Linked DNA regions of Caenorhabditis elegans. The protein of the gene in region 1 interacts with the protein of each later gene in a pairwise test. Each region holds a gene or a part of one and is shown in the gene's direction. Other genes may lie near its edges.

The links.
Region 2: the proteins of vet-1 (region 1) and lin-15A interact in a two-hybrid assay, tested with the Caenorhabditis elegans proteins (2 studies listed by BioGRID).

Annotation. Positions count from the first base shown.
Region 1 is NC_003279.8:6,200,112-6,204,159, reverse strand, and holds vet-1 (Very Early Transcript), read left to right. Parts: upstream 1-2,083; 5' UTR 2,084-2,093; coding exon 2,094-2,200; intron 2,201-2,285; coding exon 2,286-3,135; 3' UTR 3,136-3,362; downstream 3,363-4,048. Other genes in the region: T05E7.1 (BAAT_C domain-containing protein), read right to left, coding at 49-146; col-55 (Collagen triple helix repeat protein), read right to left, coding at 3,967-4,048.
Region 2 is NC_003284.9:15,729,760-15,735,901, forward strand, and holds lin-15A (Protein lin-15A), read left to right. Parts: upstream 1-2,208; 5' UTR 2,209-2,215; coding exon 2,216-2,494; intron 2,495-2,961; coding exon 2,962-3,051; intron 3,052-3,102; coding exon 3,103-3,540; intron 3,541-4,045; coding exon 4,046-4,150; intron 4,151-4,197; coding exon 4,198-4,365; intron 4,366-4,423; coding exon 4,424-5,503; 3' UTR 5,504-5,606; downstream 5,607-6,142. Other genes in the region: Protein lin-15B, read left to right, coding at 1-148, 196-610, 664-1,737, 1,787-1,852. UniProt on the Caenorhabditis elegans protein: Synthetic multivulva (synMuv) class A protein. SynMuv proteins are required to repress the induction of vulval development.

The DNA of each region.
Region 1 (4,048 bases):
AAAACTCAAAGATACAAATGAAGAATAACAAAAAAATTGAGATCTCACCTCAAAATGAATGTATAACAACTCCATTCAACGAGCCCACTTGCACGAATATTAACCTTTTCAGTCTGGAGACTGTCCACTTTATCAACATGAAGCATTTCTTGAAAACCTGAAAATGTAAATAAGCACTTGATTTTCAAAGCAGTTTTTGGAGGTTTCTTTTTATCAATTCGAATTCTGCGATAAGAAATGTTGCATTTTGTTTGGTTTTCCATCTAGTTGATCAGAAAGAGGGAGGAGCTTTTTTTTTAGATAATCAAGTGACTACAAACCGATCAAGTGATTGTTACAATAGACTCTTAAAGTGCATTTCCCGAAAAAAAAATTGAAATTTGTCTAAAACCTGTTATTAAACTTTTTAGATGAATACTGATAGAAGGCAACAAATGCTTGAATAGCTTTAGTAAAGTAGAATATTACAAAGATCTTGCTAATTAAAAAAAATTATATACAAAGATTTGACTCATTATCAATTGTCTGATAGTCAGATTTGCATGCCACATTTTGAAATCATATTCTTTTTATTTCTTAAGAAAGAAAAAAAAATTTAAGAACAACATGCAAGTATTTGTGTGTTGAAAACTAGGGTAAATCAAATGGAAGTGTTGGTAATATTGGCAAATGTCTGAATAACTTCTGTATTTAGGAATTACAACAAATATTGGTGGGATTTCGTTTGTATTTTTGGTTTCAATAGATCAATGAAGCTACTTAAGTGAACGATTTAAAATAATTAAATTTCAGCCGAGTGTCATCGTCAGTCTAGAGTACATTTTATGGATTTTAATTTTCACTTTAAGGATAAAGAGGTGCCACAGTTGACAATAAAACGGATTTAATCTGGATATCAATTCATGTTCGGACGCTGCGACCGCCAAATAAATATATTACGTTTTTAATACTTCAATTCAGTCTTTCCTTTGTCTCTTTTTAAATCCTAGTTTGAAGAGCCCCATACATATAAACTTAACTTCCATTAGCTATTTCATGGTTCTATAAATCTAGGGTACCAGTTTTTGTGACCTTATATTTTGGTACCTTCTCAATCTGCCGTTTCAGGGAGAGGGAGACAATAAGCAGACGATCTCATAGAGCCTTTCTGGATATCGATCCAAATCCAGACGCTGTAATGAACTACCTAACATTCACTCTCATTCATGTTGTTCTCAATTCATTCTTCTCATTTTATCCAGGTCCCATTCGGTACGTTTATTTTTTTGTTCTTATTTTGATTGTTTTAATTTTCTGAGATATCCCAGTTGCAGTCCTAGTAAGTAATTGTGTATTTGTATTAATTCCTTTAAAAAATCTTCAACCGAAGACGAAAAGAGAATAGAGCCCTCTATTTCAGAATACTGACATTTCTAGTGTAAATAAAATAGTGTAAAAAAGTATTACTTTGGTTTTTCATGTACCGGATTTTTCCTGATCGTATTGCACGTATATCTGATTTTAAATAGCTTATATGGCCTTCGAGACTGCTAGATTTTCAATTAAAAACTGGAATAGCATATTTATAGCCAAAATTAATTTTTGAAACTTGAAAGTGATAAAATTTTTTTACATCTTTGAATGTTAACATTTTTTTCTTTCTTAAGGTTTGAGTGGGATGAAAGATTGATAAAACCTGCGAGATTTGTATCGATGGTACTGAATTAACAATAGTGGGAGCTAGATTAATTGGAATTGGAAATTTAGTTTCTTTCAACGTTTACAAAATGCCCATTTTAGTATAGCCATAGATTTGGAGTCAACTACATTCTGAATGACTTCTCTCGATCCAATCAATATATTATGTTCTTCGACAGAAGATCACCATACAATGCAACGCTTTTCCAAAATTGTGAATATCGATCCATATTTGGACGCTGTAAATTCTCACCATCGTTCTCTCTCACTGTTTTTTCGATCCAATTACTCATTCTCACCTAACATTCTCAAAAGGTGCATCTTTCCTTTTTTCATTTATTTATTTGCTCTAGTATTTTCTACTGCAGTTTCACTAAACGTTTCTTTTCAATTAAATATTTTTCAGAACTGAAACTATGTTTGCTGAAAATCCATTCTTCACTCCCACCGAGTCCAAGTTGAAATCGGAGATCGCACTTCTTCAAATGAAATTGGATGACGAACGATTTGATCATCAGAAAACGTAAGTTGTTTGAACTCTAGGACAACGTGCAACCTGTTATATAGATTATATTGTACTAACCCATTCTTAATATGTTCAATTTCAGACGACGAGAGCTTGCCAATTCTCGACTTGAGATCTCTGATCTGAAAGGGGAAGCGAAGTGCCATGATTCGGAACTCAATCGTCTCTACACAATAATCAATAATTTGGAAAAGAAGGTTGAAGATTTGAATGGAGAACATCAAAAGTCATTGGAAAAATTGAAAGAACGTCTTCATGAAAAGGATGCTTTTATCGAGGCTTGTGAAGAATTCTATGATGAGAAGAAGATCAATGTGAACAAAATGACATTGATGAAACAAGAAATGGAATTGAAGAGAATCAAAAAGAACTTTGAAGAATACAAGGAAAGAATGACTGAAGTTGAGAAAAATTTGAACGAATTTATCAAAAGACAATCGGCCATTTGTATGGGAGTGAGATATGAATTGAATATGGAAAAGGATTCGAGAGAGAGATATTTCAAAGAAGCTCAACAATTGAAACAAGAGAAAGATGTATTGGTACATGAAATCAATGAAAGAGAAGTCAGAATTTTGTGTCTGAGAAGTGATATTCTTACATTGAAATCTGAAAACAACGACACCTCTAAGGAACTTGATGAAATGAAAAATGGAACCAAAGCTTTGAAACATGAACTTGAAGAGACCAAGAAAATGAAATCCGAAGCCTTGTCGAAATATGAAGAATCTCAAAAAGAGTTCGAACAGTTCAACTTGAAGTTCCAAAGATTGTGCACAAAGTTCTACGAGGAACGTGTCTCTTCTCAGACAACTTCACCTAAAATGAAAGAACATCTGGCATCTGCTAAGAAACGATTGTCTGCTATCAAGGAAACACTCCAAAATGAAGAAGATTTTGATGAAACCGGAGAAGTAACCAATTATCAATAATTTAATATCACCCAATTACTTTTTCCGTGTTAATTTTTCTTCTTTTAGCTACTATCGCTTTTTTAGCATTTTTTCGATTTGATACTATTGCTTTTACTTTACCATTTCCATTGCACTTTTTCGTTTGTTGTAATACGAAACAATACGGCTTAATTTTTCAACGCCTCGGCATTCTTTCAATCCATCTTAAAATGTTACTCTCTTAATTATTCAATAAATGTTTCATTAAATATCGGAATCACTTTTTAACGTGGATTTTTATAACCAAACAGGTGTACGAAAAGTTTACTATCAATTTTAAATAACAGGCAGAATCAGAGAACTTCACATCGAAACACAACATGAAAAGTAAAACACACGACTAGCGATAAAAACTGTTGGAAAAATCAATCAAATTCAAGAGGAATTTGAAAAGTACGTGCTGAAGGTGGTAGATTAGTGAAAGCTATTACAATATTTCCAACAATTGTGGTTTCATCTTCCATGTTCTTTTTTGAGTGAAATCGAGATGAGTTTTTTGAGAGAGTACTCTAGAATCTGTAAAAGTCGATGATGTAGCGAAAAAGTGCAAATATCATTTTTGCATGAAAAACTAAAACTGATTAGATAAGAAATGACAACAATGGTTAATGATGTTGACCTATGCTCTGCTTGTATACCGTGATTAGTGTCTTTGAAATCAATTCCATAAAATAAAATACGTGAGTGTGAGTTCAAATATACCATTAGAAGACAGTTCAGACCTAGAAAATGTTTTGCAACCAGTTTTGTATATTCTCGAATTAACAATTTTTATGCAAAATGATTTATTTGTAGGAAAACAAAGGGAAGCTAAGCTGAAACCTTGTCAACACGCTTGCGGAAGACCTTGCGATGTTTACGAACTACAACGGAACGAGATGGGCATGGACAA
Region 2 (6,142 bases), on another chromosome or scaffold:
TCAATGGAAAAGTACAGAGGGATGACTTCAAATTGGAACCACTGGACGATTTCAACGGAGAACCCGACTATGACAATTTAATTGGGGCTCAACGGCTTATGTACAGTGATAATCTCAATGACGCATCGGCAGAAGATGCGTTTGCAAGGTAACCTATATTTTTTTCTGAACCTCAGTTTCATTTCCAATTTTCAGGCATCGTGTGACTATGGAATTCCAGAAGCGCAGAGCTTGCAACCGTCGCTGTGCAGTATGTGGTCACTTGGAAATCCACGAGCGTCTGAAGAATGTGACGATTGAAAATGAAAAGCTGTTGATTATGTTGGGCTGTATTTATCGCGGAGAATTTACTCTAGGACAGGCACAGCTTTTCATGGCGCGTGAGAGCAAAACGTACATTTGCCGTCTCCATTTCCTGGAGACCCTCGACGAGATCTACCAGATGCTACGTCTGAAATCTGCCGATGATATTCTGATTTGCCCATTGGACTTGATTCAGAACGCATTGATCACTGTTTCCGCCCTCCGTCCACACATTATTGCTTCACAACTTCGAAAGATTCTTCACGATTTTGCCGAAAGAAATAATCATCTTCGTGAAACGCCAGCGGTAAGTTTCCGTTTTTAAAATTGCACATTTTGAAACAAATTAATTGTTTTTAGGAATTGAAGAAACTTGGACAACAATACTTTGACTACCGCGAGCCCGAACCTGAGCCAGAGAGAAACGATGTGGATGAGCAAGAAATCATACCGAAACTCTTTCGCCAGCCACGCAAGCAAGTTCTGGAAGCTGATCAGCATGACGGAACTGTCAAGGTTATAGAGCAGGAAGATTTCAAGCTCCCAACTGTCAAACCGTCTGAAAATGAGGAATGCGACAATCCGGGCGTTTGCTGCTTCTGTTCGAAACGTGGCGACCGAGGTGGAATGCTTCGTGTCCCGAGAAGTGAGGAACGTTTGGCTAGATGGGTGGATAAGCTTGGACCAGAATTTGAAGCCCGACTTCACACCAATACGGAAAACCTAATTTGCCGAAGCCATTTCCCAGATGCAGCGTTCAGCAGTCGTGGTAGACTTTTGAAAGGAATGATTCCAGATGCTGCTCCAGAAAAAGTTGAGACCACGTATATCATTCAAGGGAACAACTTCCTCAAACTCAAAGAGCGCAAGTCTGGAACTGATAAGAATTCAGCCATTGATTTGGCGAATATGTTAAACCCCGACGGTGTTGAATATACTCAGGAAGAAGAAGAAGAAGAGGAATATGAAGAAATGTCAAGATCCCCAACGGAAGAGACTTCAGACGACGAGCCCAGTCAAGCAGCAGTTTACAACAATGCTCCAGTGATAAAACGTACCTATAGAAAGCGGGAGTTGTCAAACGAGGATGGACCTCTTAACTTGGTAACACCACCTGCTCATACTCCGAACCCAAGAGGGCGCCCAAGGAAGTATCCCAAGAATAGTGTAACACCAGAAGCTGAAAAAAGCCTCACCGACTACGACTACAATCCGGGAACATCTCAACGACGTGCACTTAAGAAAGGTTACGTACAACTCGAAGACGGAGAAATTGTCGGCGAAGATTGCGAATACGTGCCTGAAAAAACACCAAGTGGAAGATTGATTCGACAAGCTGTTGCTAGACGAAGCTTTGCTTTTGCTGATGAGGAAGAGGAGGAGGAAGAGTATGAAGAATCTCCAATTGTTAAAAAGCCCAAGATTGCTGGAAGAGTGAGTTTTTGAAAAATATATGCTTTGAATTATTTTTATATTTTTTCAGCCAGTCGGACGACCGCGCAAAGATGCTAATAAGCTGCCAACCCCCACACCACCCAGCAACGAATAAGTGGAAATATTTTCATCCACCGTTCCTGATTGTTGTTTTTATATATAATTTTTTCTCCATTGATGTTTTTGATGATTAAGTCATACGCATAGTTTTACCCTGTTACTTTGATTGCCCTTAAAATTACCACTTTTATTTTACCTATTTATTTTAATCATCATTCATCTGAAACCTCACAATGATGAGATGATCTCATCATTTTTATATTTTGTAGTTTTATATCAGTTTTATAAATGTTCACCGAAATTTGATGCCAACTGGTTTTTTTCTAATTCTTTCCAAATGGTTTCACATCACCAAATGACAATTTTCCTTTACTTTCCTATCTTGCTTATCATACACTATCACTTATTCAGATTCCTAATGTTGGCTCCAGCGGCTCCAGCTAAAGATGTTGTCTCGGCAGATGAAAAAGAAGAAATCATTGCGAAAAGAAAATTTCGAATGAAAAACGTTGATGCTATGCGAATGTCAAGCTTGGCGAACGATCGGATGGCTTTCAACAAGAAATGCAATGCCCTAGCGATGAAGTTTGTTAAAAGTGCCGGCATTGGAACGGATGCTCTGCAGCTCACATGTTTCCAGGAGCTCGTCCGGCATTTCAACCCAATTGCCGCAGTTGTTGTTGGTGTCAAAAGAGAGGTATGGCTTTTTAAGGATTTTCTCCCATTTTCTGATATATCTAGTTAAAGGTGGAGTAGCGCCAGTGGGGAAATTGTTAAAAACTACTCCTTTAGTGCCAAAAGGACCAAATATCAAAATAAAACTTTTCAAACATTTTTTGAAAATTTTTTATTTACTGTCAAAAAGTGACAATCATTCAGTGTTTGCCAATCATAATTTTGGAAGTCGACAAAAAAATGTTCTCCTACATTTAAAATGCAATTTTGTTTTGCCTACTTGTATTAAAACATTGTTGGGGTCGGAACATGCGACATTGCTGTGGATTTCCTCAAAAGCTCATATTTTTCATAGTTTTGGCAATATGCCAAAACTTTGACTGGAAATTATGAAAGATCTAAAAATTTTTGGAGTGTTTTATTATGATATTCGGTCGTTTTGAATCATGATAAGGTTGAATAAGAAGTGTTCTATCTTCAATGTTTCAGCCAAACTCCAATGTACAAGCTGAAAAAAAGACAATTCCAAAAGTCAAGACAATACAAACACCTACCCAGTCAATGGAATCTGTTCGATTGGTAAGCAGAAATGTTTGAAGATTATTCATAATAATGCGTATATGGTTTCAGCTCCAAGAGAAAAAAGCTTCAGCAACTGAAGAACAATCAGCTGAGTCTGCTTCGATCATGAAGCATTTTGCGAATACAATTCCAAACTCAACACCAACGCAAAGCGTGAAGGATGTTCTGACGGCGGCTGCAAGCAAGGGACAATTCAAAAGTAGCGCGGAAATTTTTTCACACTTTCCAAGTGAACCCAGCCCCTCGAAACCCCGTGCCACACGAGAGGGATCTCAACCGAGTGACTACACGTATTGTACCTATCTGACTCCGTGCATACTCTGCGAGAAGGCTCTTTTAATGCGAGAAAGCATTGCAATGACTGATAACGAAGCTGTGAAAGTTTTGATGGCGGCAGTGATGTCTGGCCACTTTAGAATGGCAACTGCAGAGAAAGCGATTCGTCATGAGAGGCTAAGGATGTGCTATGATCATGTTGATTTTGTAGTAAGTTGTTCAGTATTTTTTTCAAAATAGTTAAGTTTGAAAAGCTGTGAAAACTTTTCTAAAGCTGATTAGAACATAAATTCTAATTTAAAAGTTATTAATTTTATTTATAATTTTCATGGCAAAAGTTCAAAATTTTTGGTGTTTTGTTTAGTACAACCTCTATTTTATTTTATATATGTGATCGATATTAATACATTAGACTAGAAAACAAGAATTAAAGGACGATCCGTTCTTCAAGTCCTATGCACTACGGATCTGGGATTCAGGTGGTGCTCCCACTGAGTTATAATTTAAGCCACGTCCTAGCCGGGGACTGTGGCCGATAATCCTATCGTGGACTGCTCTACTTACCAATAGAGGCTGGATGAAAACCTAGGTGGTGAGGTTGGACTTGAACTTGTGACCTCCAGATTGCTAGCGGCCACCACTACCGACTGAGCTATCCTGCCCCCTTTTAGTTTAGAGATTTTAGTTTAAAAAAAACCATACACCACTTTTTCAGTACGAAATGATGTGCGACGCCTTTGAAGCTAAAACGGAAAGCGAGATCAATGAGATGCCACCGGACAGATTGATGCGTGGCCATGATATCTATAGAGCACTGAAGGTTTGATTGTCATATCTCGTTGTTCTACAACGGTGAAATGTTTTAAGAGAGTCGGCGACCTGCACAAAGGGAAGGTTACGTCGAACACTCCGCTTTACTCATTCAAGAATTCCATTAAATCTTATTACCGTAACCACGTGCCAAGGATGGTCAATGGGTCTCTCAGTAAACCGTCTCCCAAACCGTTCTCAGAGCTGGTTGCGCTTTTGCAATCGGTGAGTCTTGTGACACTTGTGAAAATTTTAAAAAAATTTAAAAAATTATTCGTTTAAGGTGCCTCCATCGACGAATCTAAATGAGTTGCTGAATCATAATCTTAGCCTCAGTGATGCTGATAAGCAAGAACTCATTCAACTCATCAATGGGAAAGATAATCGTTTCACATCTCGGAGACGGAAAATCGAGGATATTCTTGACAACAAGTTTGCTGCTGCAGCTGCAAAAGCTTATCGAGATCACAGTGAAGATGCACCTAGTGAACCGTATATTCCCAATCAAAGTGAGATGCAGAACACTGTAGAACGCAGAAAGCGAAAGCTTCATTCGCCTGAACAGGATGATGCTGGATCATCGAGTATCTCATGGAACGCAAAAAAAACGAAAACTCCAATTGACTATGTTCACCTAGCAACGCGTGTTTTGGAAGGTCATTCAATTGCCGACGAGGCGCTTTTGCACAAATCCAAAGTTTCTTATGCTCGTAATGCATTTGGTGAGAAGCCAAGCTCCCCCACTCCGCCATCTGCGCCACTAAAGTTCTGTGTTGTCAATGGAAAGAAATACTTGCGTTTTGAAAACGGAACCGGACCTCCGAAAGTTGTAGTTCAAGGGAATGTCGTTCTTCGCACTAATACTCTTAAAGACGCATTGACTACAGCGCCACGTGCACAAAACCAGCCTTCTACGTCCACAGACTCATCAAGCTCATCCGAGATGGAGGGAATACGTCAATCATTTGGGGCGCCTCAAAAGGAAGAAGAAGAAGAAGAATTAGTACCTACGCTTCTTCAAAACAAACCTACCCACGTGGAATCTTCGAGCCCCGTTGAAAAAAAACCACCAACCAAAACGAACGTAGAGAAACCAGCGGTCCGTCTAGGAAGAATGTTAACGACTGCATTTGGTTCAATGAGTTACCGAACAAGAAAATCGGTAGAGAATAAAACGGATCTCTTAAATCAGCCAACATCTGCCTCACCAAGACGCATGATTAAAGTTGTGAGAAACCGAAATCCTCACCTTGCGAAACAAGTGGCCGCCGCACCGAGTGAGCCAAAACATATTCCGCCAACGCACATGGAAAAGAAGCCGGAAGAGTTGCTCATGGATCCAAAGCCTGAGCCAATTTTTTAAACGTTCTTGATAACTTTGATTATTATCTTTTTAGTTCAATTTCATGTTTTTTTTAAACTGTTTTTTTCTCATCACAATCGATCTTATAAATATGTTACTTGTTATCAAAACTATTTCAAGAATTTCGAGTTTAGCGCATTTCGTGAGGAGGAAGTCTGAAATTAAAAGTTTTTGCAATGAATTTTTGTTCGGTCACACGGAATTTTTCAGGTTAGAAAAGTGTTTTGTGCGTGTTGGTTTTGTTGACGTCTTTTCAGAAAAAAAATTTAATGGTGTTTATTGATTGAAACCCGTATCCAAAAGATAAAACAACATACCGCAATTCCAAAAAAGAGCAAATTATGTTTGCCGGAAATGTTTAATTCCGGCCATTTGTCGATTTGCCGGAAATTTTCAATTCCGACAATTTGCCGATTTTCTGGAAGTTTTTAATTTTGGAAAGATGCCGATTTGCCGGAAATTTTCACTCCCGGCGATTTGCCGATTTGCTGGAAATTTTCGATTCCGGCCAATTGCCGGAAATTTCAGTTCCTGCGATTTGTCGGTTTTCCCGAAATTTTTAATTCCGGCAATCTGCCGATTTGCCAAAACTTTTCAATTTCGGCAATTTGCCATTTTGCCGAAAACTTTCAATTCCGG